Linked DNA regions of Rhinolophus ferrumequinum. The protein of the gene in region 1 binds, or shares a complex with, the protein of each later gene. Links are inferred from orthologs where the notes say so. Each region holds a gene or a part of one and is shown on either strand. Other genes may lie near its edges.

Region 1 (11,278 bases):
GGAAGATGGGAAGCAGTTACTTAGGATTATGACCTCAGAAAGTCTCAGGAGTTCTGGGGCCACGTGGAGGGCGTGTGGAAAATGGTACGGGAAATGGCTGAGACTGAGAAGGGCTCCAACACTTGAAACGAAAGAATTCCAGTAGGGTGAGATGTGTTGGAGGGCTTGAGCCTTTTAATAGGGTTTGGTAGGATCGTTAGGGCCCTCTTAGCCTGAGGCTGTTTGCACCTCATGGTGCTGATGGAGAGGTGACCATAGGAGCCCCCTGGAGAGGCACAGCGTGAGTTGATGAAGGCCACGAGGGAGCTGGGTGAGGTGCGGATAACTGTCTGCAGGTCCAGGCTGGCATCTGACAGAGGTGAGATGGAGAGTGCCCTCTTCTTGGTCAACTTGACTGCACTCCGGGGAGGAGGAAAGAGTGGGGCTGGGCAGGAAACTGGGGAGATAAATATGGTAAAGGGGCATGTCTCTCCATGCACCCAACCGGGAGTCCTGACCCTCAGCAAAAAAATGACTCTATCTTGCCCTACTGACCCCATCTGTGACCTCTTGATCATGCTCTGACCCCTCACTCACATCTCCAAGCACTTCCTCTTCCCAGTTCGATCCCCTTCCCTCCCACTTTCTCCCTCAGAACAAGTCCCAGAGGGGCAGAGATGTTTCCTGAGGCCTCACCCTCGGTGCAGCTGTTGGTCTCTCTGGTTGGCCCATAACTGTGGGGGCCAGACATGAGGTTGGCCTGGTGGCAGAAGGGCAGACCGGACAGTCCTAGAAAAGAGAGACAGCTGGGATGGGGGGTGAGAATGGGGGACACACAAATCTTCACCCTGAAACCCCAGGCAAGGCCTGGTCCCATATTCTAAGCCCACATGACATGGGGCCTCAAATCTTCTTGTAGATGGGAAACTGGCATGGGATAAGAGATAGAAGAGGGATTCCTGGGGCAGGGTGAGAGATCTGCCAGTCCTCAAGGCCCGGGAATTGGTATATGCACTAACCTTCTGTCCCCATGCTGGCGGGCCCCTGACTTGGGAGGGGACGGAGACAGCAGGGCTCTCCATAGCTACTGACTGGTGGTGGGGTCATCGGGTTGAACATGGTGTTTCAGAGGAGTGTAGAGGCACTGCAGGAGAGGGAGGGAGATCTGCAAGTTATAAAGGTGGGAGGGAAATAGGGAAAGTCAGATAACTAATTCAGGCACAGAACACTGGGCAGAGGTTCCCCTGTGCCCCCAGCCTCTCCAAGACATCTGCCATTGGACACCAGGTTGAAATGAGCATCATTCAGCCAGAGTGAGGATGAAGAGAGAAGTCTCAAAGAGGCAGGGGCAGTGTTGGCGATTTTTGTGGGAACTGGGTAGGAGCTTTCCCTGTGTGTGTAGTGGGGTGTTGTGGAGTAACTGTGCCTATATGAGCTTCAATTGATTTTAATACCATACGACCTCTATTTCTTCTTGCTCTGACCATAGGCCAGTTTTGAGGAGTGGGATGGGACTCCTCAGACGCAGAGCATCTGACTTCAAGCTCTGGGCTGGCTGTTCTGCCTGAACCCGGTTCCCTTCCCTTCATTTGTTTCTGCCCAGGGACACCTCGCCTACAATCTCTCCAGTGTCCAGTAGAGGGAGCCCTTGCTGCAGCCCAGACGGAGAGGCTGGTGGGGCCAGGAGAGAGCACGACGGATCTGCCCTTTTCTCTAAGTCAGAAAACAGAGTAGAAGGGGATAAGGTTTCCGAGGGGAGCCTCCAGGGTCAGCTGAGTACAAAGGATGAAAGCTGGTGTTATTCTGGGTTTGAATCTGGGCGCCCACTTAACTCTTTTGGTCTGTTTTGGGGGAACAGTAAAAGGACTTTGAGGGAAGGCTTTGGGAGAATAAAAAAACAAAATCATCATCCATTTGAGAAGAGCAGTGAGTGAGGGAGGAGAGGGTGCCGCTATCCGCTTTTCTCCTCAAACTAGTTTTGGTCCACCCCGGGTTTTCCGGTCTCCCGGGAGTGAGGGTGGGGTGGGGCGGGGTAGGGTGGAGAACCACCGGGAGCGGGCCGGCCCGCGTGGTGGGTGATCCCGGGATGCTGGGATTTAGGGTGAGGGCGGGGTAAGATGGGGAGCGCTACCCGGACCCGAGGACCCAGCCCGAGCGTTGCAGCCTGGGCTGTACCCTTCCTAACTCCTCCTTTCCTAGCGGAGATCCGGATCCCGCATCCAAGACCTCCCAACTCGACCTTGGCACTATGGAGGGGGGGGCGCAGCTGGCTGGCAGCTGGATCGGAGGACACATCTCCCGCCTCCTTCCTCTATGACTCACCCAGGGGAAGGAGGCGGGGGCTCGCAAACGACCCCCCAAACGTGCTTGTTCTGTCATCTTTCTGCCCCACTGCCCAGCCGCAGGGGAGCCGCGATGGAAATGGGGCGACATCCCTACTCGCCCACGCGTGCCACGGCCCACCCACGATTCCCCTTCACACTAGCCAACTTTTCCAGCTTCAGTTAAGTTTTTCTGGGGTGTGGATGAGAGTGCAGGATGGGGCAGGGAGCTCTAGGGTTTCTCGGCTGGAACCCTGAATCATCTTCTGTGTCTCCCAATTTTCCAGAGTCCCCCTCGCACCCCCGCTCCCCAACTCCCCGAAGTCGGCCCCGCCCCCCTTCTCCTGGTCCCGCCTTCCCCGCCCCCGTGCCTCCTCGGCCCACCCAAGTAGCCGCCGCAGGCTCTGGCTGCAGACGGCTCCGCTTCCCCCGCCCGCCCCGGGAGCCTAGTCGAGCGAGCCTCAGTGTAGCGGGGGGTGGGGGGGGTGGTGTTGAGAGGCGGGACAAATTTTTCCCTCCTCCCCTCAGCGCATCCAGAAAGCTGGTAGTGAGTGGTGCGCGCGCCGGGGGTGGGGGTGGGGGGGCACTGTTGAAGAGTGGGGGTCCCAGTGGCGGGACGGAAAAGAAAGAATCCAGAAACTGTAGGAAAAGTGACTGGGTAAATAAGGTGTGTTTGTGGGGAGGGAAGCAGTCAGGGCACCTTACGCTCCTGGGTATCCTAGTTGGCTTCCCAAGGGTTAACCCCTGCAGACCCCCGGGAACCCCCTTAGTGACGTCAAGGGCGGGGTCTGTGCCGCTTAGCAGGGGATGCCGAGGAGGTAATGGGGGGGTTTTGGACCCCGCCCCCCTAGGGAAAACCACCTTAACTCCGGCCCTTACAACTCCCCAGGGAAATCGCCCCTCCTTCTCCCTCTACTGGACCGTAAAGACCTATCCTATGAAGACCCTAGTTCTCCAGCCCCCTAAAACCTTCAGTCCTCAGTCTCTATGGGATCCCCTTTCCCTAATCCTGTCCCCAAAGCTAGCTGCCCAGGGCGGATTGTTTCGGGGTCACGGGGCTTGAAAGAGGCTTCAGAGCGGGGAGCAAGGGCAGGCAGGGTGGTCTGAGTCAGAGGAGGGGCCTCGGTCCCCAGCTCCTGTTTGGGAGGGGGCCAACGGGGATGCATAGGCAGGCAGTGGCCGGTGGTCCCGCCCAGTCCCAGTAGGGGTCTCCCTGTAGCTGGTCCCAGCTGCCCTGGTGGTCCTGAGGTCAGAGGGTCAAGACTAGGCCTCCTCGGCTCCTCCTTAGCACCCTGACCACAGCCCTAGGGACTCAGGAGTCCAAATTCCTTGAGGAGTCGCTCTAGGGCCTGAAGTAGACACTCCAGTCCCCTTCCTTATCCAGAAGACACTCCTTTTCCCCAAAACACATGCACCAACAAGCACATCTGTCATAAGGCAGATCAGGGGTTCAAGCCCAGCCGCCCCCCAGTGATTTTGTCGCCTCATACACACCCATCCCCACCCCACCTAGGGCTCTCTCCTTAGCTGTCCCTCCTTTCAGAAACACTGACATCTTCCTGCCGGCGCTCAGAGACACACCTGGAGTTCCCTGTCTACCACGCAGACCTCCAGCTAGCCGTCCCTCCAGCCTCTTCATTCCAACCTCATGAAAGTGAGATGTTTCTAATGTATGGGAGAGGCGGAGACAGACAAAGAGATCCACGGTTGCCTGAGACAGAGACACACAGGCTGTCAGAAGAAAAAAAGATACAGAGAAAGGGAGACATAAATGAAAAAATTCTCCAAACTTTCTAATATCTCACCCCAGGCTCTCCCACCCCATTTTGCCTCTGTGCCCCACTTCTCCCTCTTGGCTGGGCAGAGTCCCTCGCAAGCAGAGCATCCCTTCAGGCCCCCTCCCCCACAGCTCCCAGGTGGTCCCCCGCCTGCCCCCCTCTCACCTCCGTCTGGGCGCAGGGCTCGGGATGCGCGGTCCAGGGCTGGAGTCTGGGCTGGGGGGTGTGCGGTGGGGAGGGGGGGCGGACAGAGCCACGGTAGCGCAGCCTCGGTGCCACCCCCACCCCCCCTAACCTGGCCCCCAGCCCTCCCGCCGGCCCAGCCCTACGGGCCGCAAGCCGGGACCACCCGCGAGAAGCGCAAACTTTTTTTTCCCTTCTGCAAAAACTTTTTCTCGCTCTAGCCGCTGGCGCGCCGCCGCTCTTCCCGCTCGCCCCTCACCTCCCTCCTATTTCCCTCCCTCTTGCTGTTCTGGAGGATGAGGCGGGGTAGCTGGAAGCGAGAGAGGGGGTGTCGGGCTTATTGCACCCCCAGGACCCCCAGGATCCTCCCCCTCCCTTGAGGGACCCTAGGCTGCCTAACCGCCCCCCCCCCGCAGAACACGCTGCTAGTGGTGGGCAGTAAATCCCGGTATGGATCTTTGGATCGGCTGCCCACGAAGAGGCCCTGAACCAGAGCCAGAAAAAACAGATTGAGAAATATATTGGGGGCGGGGCGGGGGGCGACGAAAAAGTTTATCCCATAAAGATAATGTTGGAGGTAAGGTCGTCGACTTTGGTTAGTGCTAGCTGAGCATTCTGCAGACCTGTAGTTTATCAGCCGGTCTCACTCTTTGGATGATAAATACAAGAAGGGGGTTGGGATTTGGTGGAAAACAGGATTGGGGCAGAGTTGGGTTGGGGGTCCCTGGGCGAAAGGTGAGGGGTCTACGGAACATAAAAGAGAGGAATAGCGGCTGAGGCTCTTGGTGCAGAGTGTGTGTTCACAAGGTTACTAAGGAACCCAAGCACCGAGGCGCTGTTCCGGAGTAACACGGGTTCTCCTTCGTCTCGAAGTTCTGGAGACTGCGGCCACCTCCGCACCTCTGCTCTGCCCACTCTTTCTACTCTTCTAGGCCGTCTACTCCCTCTGCTGGCCTTTTTGGCACATGACACCCTCTAGGAACCTGGAGGCAGAGGAGACTGGGGGAGCTAAAAGGAGTTGGCTTTACCGGTCCCCTCACCAAAGCCCAGTTAGGAGCCCAGGGAAGGGGGTTGTATGAGCCCAAAGAGACGGAGGGGCACACTGGCAGAGGCTGCTAGTGCAGAGCACTAGTGTCTGATAGTAGAATGCCCTGTTCCTTTGGATTTGTGTTGCCATGGTGACCGGATGCAGGGGAAGGGGCAGCTATTTTAGTCTGCCTGACCTTTCTTTATGAGAAAGGGGAGAAAGCATGGTGGGGGAAAGGAGTCCCTTCCTTTTCTGTCACCCCTCAGACAGACCTCCCACATCCTAGTTCCGCTTCCAAGAACCACCTCCTTGGGTCTAGAAGGGTCAGTAGGTTAACTGTTCAATCTGGGAGTCAAGGGGAAAAGATGAAACTAGGAAGAGGTTGGGGCCAGACAAATATAGATAGTAGCTGTGAGGGACAGATAAGGAGCCCTATTTGAGCCTCCTCCCCACATGACTTTGACCCAGATGCCAGTTATACCCAACGGGCCACGCAAGACCAATGGTCACTGGAGAAAAAGGGACCCTACATATGTTCCTGTCTCAGCCATGTGTCCTCTCTTCCAGGGGAGTTCTTTTAGATATATTGCTTTCTCCTCCCACCCAGGTCTCTAGATCAGCGATTCTCAAACATTTTAGTCTCAGGACCCCTTTGTATTCTTAAAAATTATTGAGCTTTTGTTTATATGGTTTATATTAGTTTACCATATTAGAAGTTAAAACTGAAAAAAAGTTTGTGACCCAAGAATACACAAGCACACATCCCATTAAAAATGATGTCAGAAAGATGACGTAATCACGTCACACAGCCTCGGGAAAACTCCACTGTACACTTTTGAGATAATGAAAATTAAAAACGGCAAATAACATCTAAGTATTATTATGAAAATAGTTTTGACCTTGTGGACACCCCTGAAAAGATCTAGGGACCACCCAGGGGTCCCCAGATCACACCTTGAGAACCATTGCTCTAGACTATCATCCCAGCCCACCTTTGTGATTCACACTTACTGATTATTTCCACATTTTTATTAGGAAAGTATAAAAGTTTGTCTCCCCAGTGGGCCCTACCCCCTGCTGGGAAAAACCAAGAAATTTCTCAGGCTCAGCACCCCTCTCTCCTGACTCTCATTTCTGGGGCTCTCCTAAACACCTTCCCTAAGCCCCTTGCCCATTTCCCTCCTGACCTTCCCTTAAAGCACCTCAATAGTTCCGCCCTTGGCCAGCCTGTTACCCCTGTCCCAAACCTGCTGGGCCCTCAGTCTGCTTCATCCTTCCCTCACTCGAAGACTTTCTCTTCTTGGGAGAGACTAAGTCATTTTTCTCAGCCTTCTCCTTCCCTCCTTCCCTCTCCCCCTCCCTCCCTCACCTCTGCCCTTTTCTCATAGGACTTAGAGTAGGAAATCATGCTTTCTGGGTAGATTCCTTCAGAGGACACACTTTCCCCATCTCCCCACACATTAACCAGCCTGGAATAGACCACAGTCTGGACAAGAAAGTGCCCATTTGGGTCCCATAGGGGTCAAGCCAGTCATACTGCCAGGTGGCCCACGGGGTGCGGGGTTGCAGATCAGGAATCTGATGCCTCCAGCCACAGATGCCTTTCGCCTGGGAACCCCCATCTTGATCTCTGTACTGCAAACCCCCAGGTCGTCTTGCTAGCTGCAGCCACAGGCCTCCACCACCATATCTGGTACATCTGTCTTGACCACATTGCCATTTCGGTCCAGGTAGAGGAGAGAGAGAGGCCTTCGGGCAGTAGGGACACAGCAGGAGGTACCCAGGGGCCAAGGGTTGTTGGCTTTGAGGAGGCTGAAGACAGCAGAATGGAAGGAGGCAGCAATGCCGGGGCTGCCAGCCAGGTGGGGAGGGCACTGTCCACTGCAGTAATTCAGCTGGTACCCTTCAGGCTGCAGGATCCAGTCCTGCCATCCCAGTTCCTGGAAGTCTACATAATAGTCTCGCCTACAACATAAGGGGGTCTCAGGCTCACAGGTCAGGGTCCTCCTCCTGGCCCGGCCTGTTCCAGGCTCATTGGGCTGGATCTTAAGCTCCAGGAAGGGCCGCTGGTCTCCAGCTGTGTCCAGGAGTCTCCGAGGTTGTCCAGCAGTCGTGCTGTTGCCTTCTAGGGGTCTGCAGTCCAACTGGAGTTTCAGGACACGAGACTCATCACCCCTCAAGCCACTAGAGGGCAGAGTCAGGGCGTGCCAGCCAGGAGTTGTCATATGGTGCTCAGCCAAGAGGGCGCGGGACCCTCGGTGCTTCCTCCGTGGGCCCCATCGGAAGATCCTCAAGTACAGAGTACCAGGAAGGGTGGGGAGCACGTGCAGCCATAGGCGCGCGTGGTGCAGGTGGTGGGACTGGAGAGTGGACAGGTGGAAGATGAGCATGGAGCTGCAGGGTGAAGTGGAGGAGTCTGCCAGAGAGATGGAGAAAGGACTGAGGGAATAGTAGAGATGGAGCTCTCCTCTGAGACTCCTGCAAGCCTGCCCATGCTCTCCCTAGCACCCACCTTTAGAGGAAACAGGGATTGCCTTTCGTCCTCCACAACCAGTTCCTGCCCCAACACCTCCTCCTCCTCCCACAGCCAGCTCTGTCTGCCTTTTCTGTCAGTCTCCCTTTCCCTGTCTGCTGTCTGTCTGTCTCTCCCTCACCCACCTGTGGTGGTAGCAAAGCTGATGACCTCTTCCCCATTAGCTGGAGCCACACTTTCCTGCTGTAGTCTCCGGAGAGCTCTGGTCAGTGCTGCCTGGGGTGGAGGATTAGTTATTCTGGGACGACTGGTCAGGTGTAGCCTCTCCAGGATTTGCTGCTTGGCTAGCTCCAGGACCAGAGCTCGTTCTGCTTGAGGCGCCAGTGTGGGGCCCCCACAGGAGGGACACACAGACCTTGCCCCATGCACCCACACCAGTGCCCACAGCAGCACCAGCCGGACCTGGACATCAGGTAGCTCCATGTTCCTGGTGAATGGCCCTGGGTCTGGGCGAGAGCCTTAGATGGCAGTTGCTCCTTCTATTGAGTGATTTTGTGGAGGCCAATGAGGGCACAGCAGCAGCAGACACCAGTGCCACACCTACCCTTAGCCAATGGTAGAGCCACCTGTCTTCTATTGCCGGGGACTCAGGAAGGTCCGATGGGTAGCTGTGTTTAGCACAATCTGCCAATTTGACCCTCACAGCTCATGTCTGGTTACCGACGGGCCTCTTTAGAGCCTGCAGCCTGGGGCTCCCTCACCTCGTGGTCAGCTAGCAGACCTACCCTCTGAGCCCCAGATTGGCCAGCTGTGCTGCCCATCAAGCCCCTACAGGGGGTGGACGTTCCCCCCTGGAGCTCCGGTTTCACCATCTGGCCCTGGTCACTGAGCGTAAGGTAGGGGTATGGGGGTGGGGGCGCAATGTGGACACGCATGATGCAAGAAAGAGGATGATTTCACATGCTCAGTCCCCGAGGTCTGGGACTCGGGGGAGGGGATTCCATATAGCAAGGTGGGGAAGGGCAACTTCCCCCATCCCTCCAGCCTTTTAACTTGCCCCAGAGCCACTGCTGCAGCAGTTTTCATGAGACAGCTGTAAGTTCCAGTGGTGATTTCTCTAGGGTCTGGGCAAGAAGAACTCTGGTTTCTTTATTTCTAGAAATGGGGCTGGGACAGGGGTGAGAGGTTGGGGGGTGGGGGCGGGAGGAACGGAGTCCTCTTGCCCAGGCCAAGGTGGCAGTGCCACGGGACACAGAAGTCACCTCCTGCCCCTGCCTGTGCTGGCTGCCCAGAGTCCAGTTGGACTGAAGCACAACGTGGAAGAGGGCAGGGGCATAGGTGTTGGCATGTTACTGTGATGTCTGGGGAAACCCAGAGGTGGGGGTGGGGGTGATGCAATCATCTAGCAGGGCAGAGTCCGTCAAGGCTGGCAGAGGGCATGGGACTTGGGAGTGCCTGTACCCAGCTGCTGGTTCTCTTGCAGGGGACTGTGAGGGTTGCCTAAATGTGGGGTATCCTAGAAGTGGTGCCAGGCCTCTGTTAATGGGGGTGGGAAATGGGTAGTTTAAGGACTTTTAAGAGCAAAGCAGAGCACAGCAACCTTAGTGCCAATCCCAGCCCTCCTTACCATACTTCCTCATGGACTATATGGGTGGGCCAAGGCCCCTCCACCTTGAACTCATGAGGGAAGGTTTCATGCTAGCCTTTCTCCTTAGGCTCCAGTTTCTTCAAGAAGCTAGGAGGATGTGACTGTGATTTGTAAATGTGCCCCCACTCCATTTTATTCAGTTTCCCACTATTTAGCCAGTGGGGGCTTTGGAGAGACGCTGCGAGGTCTGGCACCAGGGGGAGAGAGAGGAGGTGTTTTGGGGGCTGGGCCTCAGTACCACCAGTGTCCACTCTGTGGCAGTGTCGTGCCACTGGACAGCAGCCGTCAGAGCTGATCAGTTTCCTAGGGAAAGGGCTACTCTGGGGAGTGGAGAGATGCAACACTTCCCAGCCTCACACTCTGGAGACTCTGCCTCTCCAACAGGAGACAGAGAAGCCGGTCTCTCTGCTCTCTCACCTAGCCACTACCAGAGAGCAGAGGCTGTCGTCAGGACCCACCTCACTGCTACCTTTGCTTTTGGACCTCATCACATTGACAGGGGGCAATGGAGCTTGGTGATGGGTGCGAGGCTCTTCCTAGAAACTCAGGGCACTGTGTGGTGGGGAGTGGAGAGAAGGGACAATGAGACTTTTAGACCCTCCTGTACACCCTGCACATCTCTCCAGGTCCTAAAACATTCAAGCCCCTCTGTCCAGTACTCTCGCCAGCTCCCTCTCTGTCTGTAAAGCTGGTGAGTGACAGCTCTCTATCCCCTCAGGTCTGGACTGTATGACTGCAAAGTAGAGGTTTCTGCCCATGGTATTGTGTTTCAGAGGGCTTACCTGTTAGTGCCAGGCGAGAGTCAAGGGAAACAGCAAGAAGTGGCTGTAGGAGTCACTGACCCCACCTCTCCCCACCCTCTCTGTCAGGTGTCCCCAATTTCCAGCTTCTTCCTACCCTCTTGCTGCTGTGCTTGGCCTGGCCCTACTTCCCCACTGACACTTACGTCAGAACCCAGCTATAAATATACTCTTAGCATCTTAATCACTTTTCCCAAGAAGTGCTCCTGGGTTATAAATACCCTAGCCATCTGCCTTACAGGCCCGCCCTACCACCAACCTGGTTGGGGGCTGGGGCTTAGTGACAGGCTTGGGTGTGGGTAAGGAAGTAGAAGAAGCCTGAGTGATTATTATATCTTGCCCAAATGAGAAAAGCCTGACTGAGTCTAGAGTTAGGGGACAGGGGGCTCTGAAAGAAAAGGTTTGGAAGAAGACAGACCCACTCTTTCCCCTTGTTACAAAAGGTGGAGCCAAAAAAGAAAGGGAATAATACTGATTCTGTGTTTATTTTAAAATTTGTCATTTTGTTCATCATGGATTTTTTTGCATTAATTTTGATGTTTTAAAAATATTGAATTAAGATATTATTTATCTTGATTGATGAATTTTTTGGCATCCCTTTAAAATTTTGCCCCTAAGGTGAGTGCCCCACTTCACCTCCCCTTAGCCTTGGTCTTGGGGACTAGAGCTGTAGTGGGAGGGAGGGAGGGAGGGAGTGAGGGAGGTAAGATCTGACGGGGGTGGAGTGTGGGGAGGGAGAAGCAGTAGAAGACTGCCTTAGATTTTCTCCTTAGATGAAGATCTCCTTAAGAAAACTGGGGGATAACTTCCATAAGTTTGCTCAGGAAGTTCCTCAGCAACTCAGATTTGCAGTCTCCCAGAAGGTCCATTTCAGACTTTCTCCTCTAGGGTTTCCATTCCAGGGACCTCAGACCCTGGTAGCAGGGGGTTATAAGCTGAGCAAACACAGACATCACGTAACCCGAAGGACACATGGGTTTTGCGAAAACTCGGCCTTGGGCTGCAGACAATATCGACCTCATGGTTCAGGGTTGTCCAACCAAAGGGAGGAGATGGTGGGGGAAGAGGG
Region 2 (11,412 bases), on another chromosome or scaffold:
GAAACTGTGTCCCTGGCAAATGGGCTGCCACTCTGTTATTCACTCCGGCAAAACCAAGTGAACAAATGCCTGTAGAGGCTTTTTGAAAAAGTAGTCTCATAAATATTTGGGTGTTAAGGACTCAAATCTGCCAACCACCACTAACCCTTCATTCTCCTTCTGATACAGGAAAACAAATAGCAAATCCCATAGCAAGGTTCTCCCAGTATCTGCTGGCTATAGGTCCCGTGGCTTGGGTGACTTTCATCCTATGTGTTCTGGATTATTCTGGACATGACCAGGTAGGAAGCTAACTGTCTCCTATTTTACAAGTGGGAAAAGGATGTTGAAAGGTGGATGGAGCCTTAGCTTTTAGGACACTCGTGGCCCATTTTGGCCCAAAGACATCTTTTTTTGGGCCCACAAAGTACTTTTTAAAAAACAACTTAATTGACATAAAATTCACACACCAATTTACCCATTCGAGGTGTGTGACTCAATGGTTCTTAGTATATTCAGAGTTATACAATCATTATCACAATCTAATTTCAGAACTTTTTCATCATCCCCCCCAAAAACTCTGTACCCATTAGCAGTCACTCTCCATCCTGCCCCCCACCCCCAGCCCTTGGCAACCACTAATCTACTTCTGTCTCTATAGACCACAAACTACTTTTACATTAACTTCTGACAGTTAAAAATTGGAGACTGCATATGAAATTTAACATTTCTGATTTCTCTTGAAAAATCAGGTCTGGCAACACTGGGCCTGCATTCCAGCATGGGGACAAGTGGCTGAAAAGGAGAAGCAGCTGGGCCTTTGGTCAGGTATGCTCAATGCACCTTCCATATTCCTTATATCACCTTTAAGGCTCTCCTCTTCCTCTCCCTTTTTAATGTCTCTGCTTGGCCTCTGCAGGCATTGAGTTGCAGACCACTATTCTAGGCATTCCCAGCAGCTCATTCTTTTTTTTTTTTTTTTAAGGTTTTATTGGGGAAGGGGAACAGTGTGTATTTTTCCAGGATTTTTTCCAAGTTGTTGTCCTTTCAATCTTAGTTGTGGAGGATGCCATTCAGCTTCAAGTTGTTATCCTTTAAGTCTTAGTTGTGGAGGGCGCAGCTCAGCTTCACGTCCAGTTGCCGTTGCTAATTGTAGGGGGCACAGCCCACCATCCCTTGAGGGAGTCGAACCAGCAACCTTGTGGTTGAGAGGACACGCTCCAACCAACTGAGCCATCCGGGAGCTCAGCTCAAGGTGCCGAGTTCAATCTTAGTTGCAGGGTAGAGCCCACCATCCCTTGAGGGCGTCGAGGAATCGAACTGGCAACCTTGTGGTTGAGAGCCTACTGGCCCATGTGGGAATTGAACCGGCAGCCTTCGGAGTTAGGAGCATGGAGCTCTAACCGCCTGAGCCACCGGGCCGGCCCCCAGCAACTCATTCTTGATAGTTCTCCTTCCACACAGTATCTGGCTTCCTTCTTACCCTCAGAGCACCTAACCTGGTGTGAAGCCCATCCTTGGCTCTCAAAATACACATAACTGAACAGTGAGGTATTTCTACAAGTCACCTCCCCTTCACCCTTTCCGTTAAGCTAGGGATGGATTCTTGCTGAAGTTGTACAACCAACAGCCTGGATGTCACATGGCAAGTGGCCATGTTAAATAAATACACTGCCTTCATTTCTTCAGCTAATTCTAGGGTCCCTTAAACTTAAGTGAATCAGCGTATCTTAAAAGCTGATTCAAATTGTAAAAAAAAGAGACAATTAGTGAAATTTGAACATTGAGTGGATATTTGATGATCTTAAGGAATTATTGTTATTAGGTTTGATAACAGTATACTGATTCTGTTTTGAAAGCATGTAGGAGAGGAAAGTAGGTGGGAATGTAATCAAAAAGATTGGCCAAGAGTTGATAATGGTTATAGTTAGGTGACGAATATGTGAATGTTTGTTATACTATTCTTTCTCCTTTTGTTTATATTTGAAATTTTCTATAATAAAAAGAAGAGCTGGTGAATAAGATGCCAGCATTTAAGTAAAAATTCAAAATACAAACAGTATGCACACAACGTATATATAAAATCAAGGATGGAAAGGAGCACATCAATTTTATGATTATGGTTGCTTCTGGGGTTACTTCTGGAACAGAAAGAGAGGACGGGATTGTGAAGGGGTACAAAGAGTTTTCAATTATACCCGTAATGTTTTATTTCCTAAAAAAACAAATCTGAAGCAAATGTCAACATTCATTAAACCTGGGTGGTAGACACATGCTACCTACGTATGTGGGTGCTTATTATATACTTCTCAAAAATTTTCTGCATTTTTAATGTATCTCATTTTTTTAAAAAGGGGGTTGAAGCAGCATAACATCTCTCCAAAACAGTGGAACTCTTATTAATGAACTTGTAAAGATCTGATACTGTGCTTGCATTTAGGCTCACATAGTCACAAAGACTTTTAAGATAGACAGTTTTAAGTATGTTGATCCATTTTAGGACAGAACTTAACCTTTGAGATCTTAGCAAAGACCTGAGCTTTAGAATAAACATAGTAATCTAATCAAAGTGTGGTGGTCCACAAAATGTCCTCCCGGAGCTGTCCTCCTCTTGTATTATCGTGTTGTGTTGTATTGTGTTGTATGCCTTTGGAAAGAATAACTTATGTTTAGTTTTTAAAAATCACTCTATTGTCATTAAAACACAGGCAAGTACACCGCCCCCTCACTCCCCTCCATTTTTCTCATTAAATTCTGATGAATTGGTTTGGTGCCAGAATAGGATGAAAGGAGTGGTCAACAATTGTCTTAATACTGGGAAAGATTGTGAACTCAATAACGAGGCTCTTCCCTCTCTTCCCTGCTTTCTTTGTTCTCCTTTATTTTAATTACACTCTTCTTAGCCCAGAAACAAAATTGTAGCCATATGTTAACCTATGGAGATGTTAAACCTGCTAAGATACATTATTCTCACAATATATAATTGCCTCAAATATTTAAAATGATTTTTCTTATCCACCTTTCACTTTGAAACAAACTCTCTAAATGGCAAACAGCAAGAACTACCGAAGGCCCCAAATATAAAAATGTGGCAGATGCTCAGTAAACCCTAATGGGACAATTACTTAAGTTTCTCCTACTTCACCGATTGGCAGAATTATTGGCATAATAAAGGAAATGCTTTCCTAGAGAAAAAAAACAAGTTGATTCTTTAAACCTTAACAATGAAAATGCACCACTACCTTAATGAATTTCAAATACATTACCAAGAAAGGGAAAGGAGAAACTAAGAAGCATTAGCCTAAGTGATATTAAAGAAAATGAGGGGGAGATTGAACTTCTGCCCAATAATTCAAGAAGCAGATTTGGTGGGATGGACACACTGCTTCTTCATGGCTGATGAAAAAAAGGAGCTAATTTCTTTTTCAAATTATGAAGAAGGCAGATGCAGCACACACAAACAAGCTGAAGACAGAAATAGTGGTTTCTGAAAAATCAACGTCAAGAACAAGGAGTCCTACTCAACCCTGTGCAGTAACTAACTAGGCTGCCCCACCCCATCCTTTATTTAGGGACATCATTGTTACTGTGATAGAGATATTTAGTCATTCATCCACCTACCCATCAATGCAATGAAAAAACACTGAGTACTCAGTGATGCCTGAACATAGGTACTCTGGTGTGTGGAAGGAGGTGGGAAAGGGGAAAGTATTAAAAAATAAAGGGATACCATCTTTTCCCACAAGGATTTAATAGTCTAGTGAGTGAAACAAACAAACAAACAAAATCCTCTCCAAAATGATTTGTCTCATTGAACTCAACTTCTTGCTTTTCAAGGCAGAAGCCATACTCCTGAAGAGAGGGAAAGCTAACAATAAAAAAAAGCACCCTTTTTTGAAAAAAGTTAGGAACTTGGAACCTGATCTCGATTTGAGTCTTGGCTCCTCAACTCACAAACCTGGTAGTTCGAATACTGTTATTTAACCTCTCCAAGCCTCACTTTCCTGCATAAACTGAGGATAATGATTCCCATCTACCTACCAGAGCTGGAGCTTAAAAGAGATGATGCAAATGAAAAGACCTTGCAATTTACCTAAGGTCCAAGAGGGCTGGATCAACAGAGCAAATCTGACAGTCATCTTAGGAGAGAGGGAACGGGCAGTTTTGCCTCAATGGAGAGATTTAGAAGGGGTACAGAAAAGGTATCAACCAATTTTGGTGGGATCAAACCTTTGGAGGAAAGAAATGCAGTTGTTTTACGATTGTCTCCTTCCGCGCAAAATAAGAGCAATATTTAGATTCTTTTCATTTATCACTATTGATGCTTGGCGTGGGGGAATGGAATAACGGATAAAGCACTGGATTTAGTGCGACCTTGTTTGAAACCTCTTCGCGCTCGTTTTCTCATTTGTAAAACGAGCATCAAACGTCCTGCCTTAACTATGTACCCAGTTTTTGTGAGGATCCAACTTGAAGGTTACGAGTATGTGAAAGCCCTCCATAAGCGCTAGAGAGCCTGGCAAACACTATGTAGGTAAAATTTCCCCCCCAGTAACTAGGCGTTCCAAAGAGGAAGGTACCTCCCTGCTTGCTTTGTCACTCTCCCTTCTTCTCGAACTTTATTAACGCTATAATTTACAATCACAGAAATAACTGAAATCTGATGGCCATTTCTGACACCACATTCTTGGGCCCCACCCAGATACACCGCCAAGCAACCCGGCCAGCTCCAGACCAAAGGAAACTTAGCCCTTCTCCACCCGCGGACCGGCCCTAGCCCATCAGGCCCTACCACTGAGAGTTCCGACAGCCAATCCCCACAGTCCTCGTGCACTGCCCCGCCCCTTAAAGAGAAACGCTTTGACGGCCCGGAAGAACGGCAAGGGCGCAAGCCAATCACTGCAGAGGGCAGCCCTCATCAGGCAAGGCTCAGAGGCGGGGTCATCGGTCAAGATGGACAGCCAGAACAGCCAATAGAGTTATCGGAAACTGGGGAGGGGCGGGTGCCGGGCGCTCACAGAGCGGTTAAGGCCCCTAAGAGTCAAGGGCCCAAGGACCCGGCTCGGACTACAGCTGTTCCCTTAATCCACTCCCAAGTTCTCTATCCCATGGTTGCTGGCCGGCCGCCCTGCGTGCGGTCTATGGGTGGAGGAAGGACGGAGGTAGCGGCGGTTGAACCCGCCTGACAGGCCAGACCAGTGACAAAGAGCCGGCGGCGCAGGCTTGAAAGCCGGGAAGCGATCCCTTCGGGGAGGAGAGCATGAGTCCCTTTAGAGAAATGGAAGACGAAACTCACGTTGTCGATCACAACAGGCTGGTTGGCGATCACATCGTAGGACTCCATGGCAGAGGAATCTCTCCTTCTGAGGAAGGAACTGCCTGCCGGGTCCGCAGCTAGCGCCACTGACGCGCATGCGCAGTCTAGCCGCTGATGCAGGGCGGCCAGGGAGCGGCCAGACCTCGCCTCGGAAGAACTACAACCCCCACGATGTCTTGCACCTGCAGTTAGAGGGCAAGGCAGTTTCGGAGCCCCGCCTAATTTAAGAGACCCATTACCCGGTGTTGCGTTTCCGACGCACAGTACCCTGGGCTTTGTAGTTTCCATAGATAAATACACGGGGATTCAGATTGATGGTTGTATTGCAAGCTTGGATCTGTAGGGATCCCTTTGGAGGGATTCGCAGTGCATGCTGAAGTACTTGTCTGTAGTTCGCTTTGGATTGATCAGTAATTCGTAGATGTTCGGATTTTACAGATCAGTTCTGCCACTCCGCACCACTTCTGGACAATATTAAGGCTACCATGTTTTTATCTGGATCCATAAGATATTAATAAACATCTATGGCCACCACACTCTAATAAAATAAATTTTAATACACACACATACGGGGAAGGACATATTCCCAGAACAAAGGAAATAAATTGCATAAAATTTGCTTTTTAGGAAAAAAATAACAACACATTTTCATTGCTTTTTGCATTTTTTCCTGGATAGGTATAAACTTTGCAACAGGCTAACACTGGTCTGAAGACTGGCATTTGGAATTATTGGTAGAGAATTGACATTGATGAGTGAGAAAATGGAGGTGAAAAGTCACTGCTTTCAAATGATTTCAGTGCATTTTTCTCTAGATTATTTCCTCCGCTGCTTCAAGTTGCAGGGATGCTTGTAGTCAATAGCACTGGTAGCCTGGACTCCTTTCTATTCGTCTTTTGGAATTTCTTCAAGATCATTGAGTGGGAGATATTACTTTTTGAAAAGTTATTGTAAACAAGAAAATAATTCCCAACCCGGTGCCTTAGAAATTAAAAATTCTCCCAGTTACAGAGAGTCAAAGTAATGGAGAATGGCAGGCCCATAGTAGATAATGAACATTGGTGTTCCTCAAGACAATCTGCATATCTCTGCCTAAAACACAACAAAGAAGAGATTGTCATTAACATCTATTAAATAATTACGAAGTTTCTTTAATTGATCCTAGTTTACCAAACTCTTGTTACTTTCCATCAGAATTCCATAATAGGTATTTTGACATACGACCCCTGAGTTTGGTGGTGTTGGTGTCAGTCAATACGATTAGTGGACATTCCAAGGTGTAGGAAACATTCAGATTTAAATCTATTTAAACTAGTGCCAAATGGAGGAATGAATTAATCTATTGTCAAACTTATGTTTAAATCCTTGTTAGCGTGTCACCCGACCAGTGATAAGCTCTTCGTCAGCGCACTTCCCAGTGCTTATGTGGGACCCTAGCACCTCAAAAGGATGGCTCCACATCTGTATTTAAACCTGGGCTCCTCCTAACACTAGGGGGAGGCCAAGAGCCTTGGGATACCCCTAACACAGGGAGAGGGAGGCGGGACCTATTGTCAAGGCACGCAGTCCCACGTGTGACTGGCACAGACATTAGCCAATAGAATCTGGGATAGGGCGCGCCGGTGCCCCGCCTCCTTGAGCGTCCAGCGGCCCCCCCAGGCAACCTCTGGCTATCTCTGCCGCGGCGACGGCCTGGGCGGACGGTGCGCTGTGCGCAGGCGCGAAGCCTAGACCTCGCTGCAGCCCCCATCGCCTAGGGGAGTCGCACCCTCCAGGTTCGCCCGCTGGCGCGTCAGTGCTCTGCCGCTCGTCTGCCCTCCCGGGTTCTCCCAGCGCCCTACGCGCCCGGATGGCGGAGCTGCGGCCTAGCGGCGCCCCCGGCCCCACCGCGCCCCCGGCCCCTGGCCCGACTGCACCTCCGGCCTTCGCCTCGCTGTTCCCTCCGGGACTGCACGCCATCTACGGAGAGTGCCGTCGTCTTTACCCTGACCAGCCGAACCCGCTCCAGGTTACAGCTATCGTCAAGTACTGGTATGCCCTGGGCCGCGCGGGGACACCAACTGGGCAGGCTGGGCAGGGTTAAAGCACCAGGGACGAAGTAATATTCGGAGGAGGAGGAGAAGAATGGTTAAAGCACTTGGATGAAGGGCTTCCTGCTGCGAAGGAAGGAGTTGTAAATGGGGACAAAGGGGTTAACGGAGCCTGTGGGTAGCGAAGGGTTAACGAGGGCGGGGAGGTTGAAGGGTTAACTGGAATTAGGAGAATAGAGTGAATTGGGAGTGTGTAGGAGCTGAGCGGGGAAAGATAGGAGAGTGGGAACTGTAGACGTGGTGAAAGGAGGGGGCGCCTGTAGGGGGTCATTAGTGGGCGAGGGGAAGCCAAGGGGGGGCAGCTGAAGTGGGATGGGGGAGACGAGGCGGGGCCTGGGGAGCATATGAGAGGGCTTTGGAGGAGCGCGGCTGGAGGAGCTGCGAGGGTATGAGACTGCACAGGGTAGGGGTGGGTCTGTGGACTCGGGCTCTCCTGCCGTTTAGAAGAGCAAGTTGTGAGCGTTATGCTTGTGAAGAGATGAGGAGGTCTCCTTTTGATACTTTCCCAATGAACTCAGACATCATATCAGTGCGGTGCTTTGGGGTTTGAAGTTTCACGGAACAACTTTTCCTGATAAACTTTCTGCTTACTCTGCACAGTTTTTTTCCTGCAGAGCTTCCTCTGCCTCTGCAGCTGCTTTGCTTTAAGACATTGGCTAGAACAGAGGTAGGGTCAGGGAGATCCATGATTTGGCTGAGGATGGAAGGGGACCACAGTAAATGCTGAAGACCTGGGACTTGGACAGGGAGGAAAGAAGGCAGTGAGATGTTGAGGAGCTTCCTGGCCACAAGCTTCAGGATTTAGGAAGCAGTTTCTGAGAGAAGCTGAGAGTAACCCCCAAGTAGTTGTTAAAGATCAGACCTGTTTACAGATGGGCTACCCTTGGAGTAGAAATGGTCTTTTTCAGTTTCTCATTCCTGTTTGCAACCTATTTCTTCCTGCAACCTTTGGGCAAAACTGGTGTTATGGGGACTGTTGGAAAGGGTCTGTCTTCGTGGTCTTTCTCAACCAAAAGTTGACGGAGGAATTGGTTGAATCTGTCCAGAACCACATTCATGCGGGCACTGTATTAGATGACTCCCTTCATTGAGTCCTGGAAGACTGTTCAGGCAGCTGCTTGCGGTGTGGCCTAAAGGGCAGATAGACTCAAAGAGGGAAGTGCAAAGAGTGGATGCCTTGCTGGTTACCTCTCCCTTTAGAACTGAGTCTCCTCCGTGACAACATCTTACTTCCTCCGGAGATGGCAGAAGCTAGGCTATAGGACTTAGGCCAGCTAGCTCCCGGTGTAGACGGGAGCATGTAAAGAGGCTGACAGTGTGAAGGGCCTGGGGACCTGCCACCTGCGCCTTAGGTAGGCCATGGGGAGCAACCTGCCTCTGTCTGGTAGCCAGGAGGAGGTGTGGCCAGCGATACAGTTCTTTCTGGCAAGCAAACTGTTCTTTGGTTGAGAGAAGTTTTTGAAGAGAGCTTCTGACTGAATCACAGCTCTTGATAACTTAATCACCCATTCAAATCGCACCTCTATACTTAAATATGTATTGTGATGAACTATATTGGATTGTGTCATGAGGAAAGTGGGCCTGGTTCTGCCATGCTGTTTGTTCAGGCCTCATTTGAGTGTAAGGAGAAATCCACTGACAGACTTGGGCAACTTTTTATGTCACCCATGTGGCCAGGAGGATAGTGTTGTATGGAAAAGGTATTGAAGCACATGCAAAGGACTAAGACTGGTTTGGGCAACTGTTTTTTTTCCTTCTTGCTGCAAGCTTGTTAACCAGCCAGGACTTATCTTTAGATGGACTAACATGTAATGACAAATAACGACGATTTACAGCACTCTGTGAAATTAGAAATGCTGCCTAGACGCCGAAAAATATGAGGGAACAGCTCAGTGACTAGTTCTTTCTAAGGTTTGGCGGGGTTTGCATAATTAAGATCCTGAAATGAATTCATCGATGTCCCTCATGTTAGAGATACCACAAGGCCTCTTCAGTTCTCATGGCAGGATGATGGACCCAGGCTGCCTGAGTCTGGCTGTGGTCCAGGGTACCTTGGTATTCCTTTTCTCGTGACAAAAGGGTGGCTCTTTGGCTAGTGGCCTCTAGCTAGCAAGGACGCTAAAAGCCAAGACTGTAGTGAGCAGGGAGCGGACGCAGAGGGGCAGAGCCTGTACCTTGCGGTCACTCCAGTCCTGCAACTGCCTTGGGGAGTGAAGTCAGGTGTTCAAGGTATGAAGTTGAGGGATGCTCTGGGTCCTTGGATAACATCTTTTTTCTAAATGCACAATACGATTATTTTCTACATGCTCATGGCCTACCCATCCTGTCTCTGAGTAAGTAGAACAGAAGAACACTCTGCACTTGGAGACTAGATTGATTTTGTCTGATTCTTGGTTATTCCCTGCAGTTGGAGTTTTAAGGTAAAACCTCTCTCCTTGATGCAATACCTCCTGGGACACTTGGCCAGAAAGAGGGCTGCAGTAGTGTGGCAGATGAAGCACAGAACGGGGAATGCAGTTTTCCCACTTGTTGCTGGATGGACCAAGGCTGGAGGAGGGTCAGGACTGGGAATTTGCAGTAGGAAACTGGAGCAGATATGGAGCCTGTCGTCACTTCCATCTATTCTGGGGTTCTGCAGCTATCATGGGGTACTTCCAGGGATAGCTACCCTTTTCTTTCCTCCCTCCCCCGACAAACCTCCCTAAATCTGACTGGTTGTGGGATTAGTCAATTGATTTTGCAAAATCAAAGTTAAAGAAAGATATGGAGATTTGTCCCTAAGCTATTTGTAGTGACTTTCTTACATGTTCTATAAATAACTTAGCTTTCCTAGCAGAGAATAAGGATTTCTACAAAGGCAAATAATATCCTGACAAAAGAGGATGAAACCAGACCTACTGGTTTTAAATAGTGTTTAAATTGTGTGGCACTGGCATGCTTGCTGGGATCACACGTAACACATCTTTTATTTGGTTGTTTGCGTTCCTTTAGCATATGATCCCAATTGCAAAGCGCACTCCATCGATGTCCCAAGGGCAGGCAAAGTTTTTGCAGTCTGTGGAATAGTCAGATGTCCGAGGCAGCTCAAATGCAGAGTGTTTGTGGGCTAAATGCAGACTTCCTTCCGCTGATGGTTTCCATTTCGTCTGTTTCTCAAGTTTACCAAGTTTCCCTATCCATTCTGAAGAAAAGCAGGATTTTTTGAAAGAACACTAATTACTCCACTAACGGGAACCCTTATTGAATTAAATCCTCAGAGTGAGATAATGACTAAATCTCTTCCTCAACTGCCTCTGTGTTGGAAGTATGGGGGATGTTTAATATGGTCCTGAGAGGCCCCAAATCATTTAATGTTCCAGCTCCACCTTTGAGGCTGCAGTTTCCTGGGATCCTCTTGCGGATGCAAGCCCTCACAGGGCTCTGCAGTTATCTGTGCAGAGCTGAGCCAACCTAAGTTTGGCCTTTGTCACTTGCATGATAAAAGACCAGCTTTGCTTTGTGGGGTGTGGGCAGGGGTCTGGAGGCATTGGGTTTGTTAAGAACAAACTGTAATTAACATAGGGCACAATATAGTCTTTCAGGAATTAGCTGTCTAAGAGACGGGAGTGGAGTTGAGCCTCTTCTTCCAGAAACAATGCCCTTAGGGAATGCTCAGGATGATCTTTCTACAGAGGCCAATGGATTGACTGAGGCACCTCTTGCCTCGAATTGTGGAATGTTTCCAGGCACCATGGAAGAGAGACAATCCCTGTCAACCCATTTAGGATTGGTCATTTGAAACCGGAGGAAGCGAAAGGGGCAACCACCCAGTCGGTTTTATATCTAAAAGAGGTCCTACCTGTTGGGGAGCGGAGAAAGGAGTCTGTTGTGCTTTCGGAATTGGGCAATCTCTAGTTGCCCAGCCCTTGGCTTATCCCAGAGAGGTGTGGCCTCCCTTTAGTTACCTTTCACCCCAGCTTCCTGCAGAATGGGGCCTTTTTGGTTTGTAAGGCAGAGCCCCTTAGCTTCACACTGTCTGCTTTCAGG

Evidence for each region.
Region 2: the proteins of GLI1 (region 1) and SUFU are in contact, whole or in part, in a crystal structure (PDB 4KMD), measured with the Homo sapiens proteins. The link is inferred for Rhinolophus ferrumequinum from reciprocal best matches to the Homo sapiens genes GLI1 and SUFU. Residues at the interface, in NP_005260.1 of Homo sapiens: Gly119, Ser120, Tyr121, Gly122, His123, Leu124, Ser125, Ile126, Gly127; in NP_057253.2 of Homo sapiens: Leu144, Tyr147, Asn153, Thr154, Phe155, Gly158, Asp159, His160, Val161, Ser162, Trp163, His164, Gln212, Asn265, Leu266, Ser267, Gly268, Val269, Ser270, Ala271, Glu376, Leu380, Lys398.

Annotation. Positions count from the first base shown.
Region 1 is NC_046293.1:56,445,057-56,456,334, reverse strand, and holds the start of GLI1 (zinc finger protein GLI1), read right to left. Parts: upstream 4,506-11,278; 5' UTR 4,244-4,505; intron 4,032-4,243; exon of another isoform or gene 3,882-4,031; intron 1,124-3,881; 5' UTR 1,099-1,123; coding exon 999-1,098; intron 769-998; coding exon 676-768; intron 437-675; coding exon 229-436; intron 1-228. Other genes in the region: INHBE (inhibin beta E chain), read right to left, coding at 6,947-7,704, 7,947-8,244. UniProt on the Homo sapiens protein: Acts as a transcriptional activator. Binds to the DNA consensus sequence 5'-GACCACCCA-3'. Regulates the transcription of specific genes during normal development.
Region 2 is NC_046299.1:22,534,948-22,546,359, reverse strand, and holds the start of SUFU (suppressor of fused homolog), read left to right. Parts: upstream 1-6,961; 5' UTR 6,962-7,145; coding exon 7,146-7,327; intron 7,328-11,412. Other genes in the region: ACTR1A (alpha-centractin), read right to left, coding at 5,276-5,323. UniProt on the Homo sapiens protein: Negative regulator in the hedgehog/smoothened signaling pathway. Down-regulates GLI1-mediated transactivation of target genes. Down-regulates GLI2-mediated transactivation of target genes. Part of a corepressor complex that acts on DNA-bound GLI1.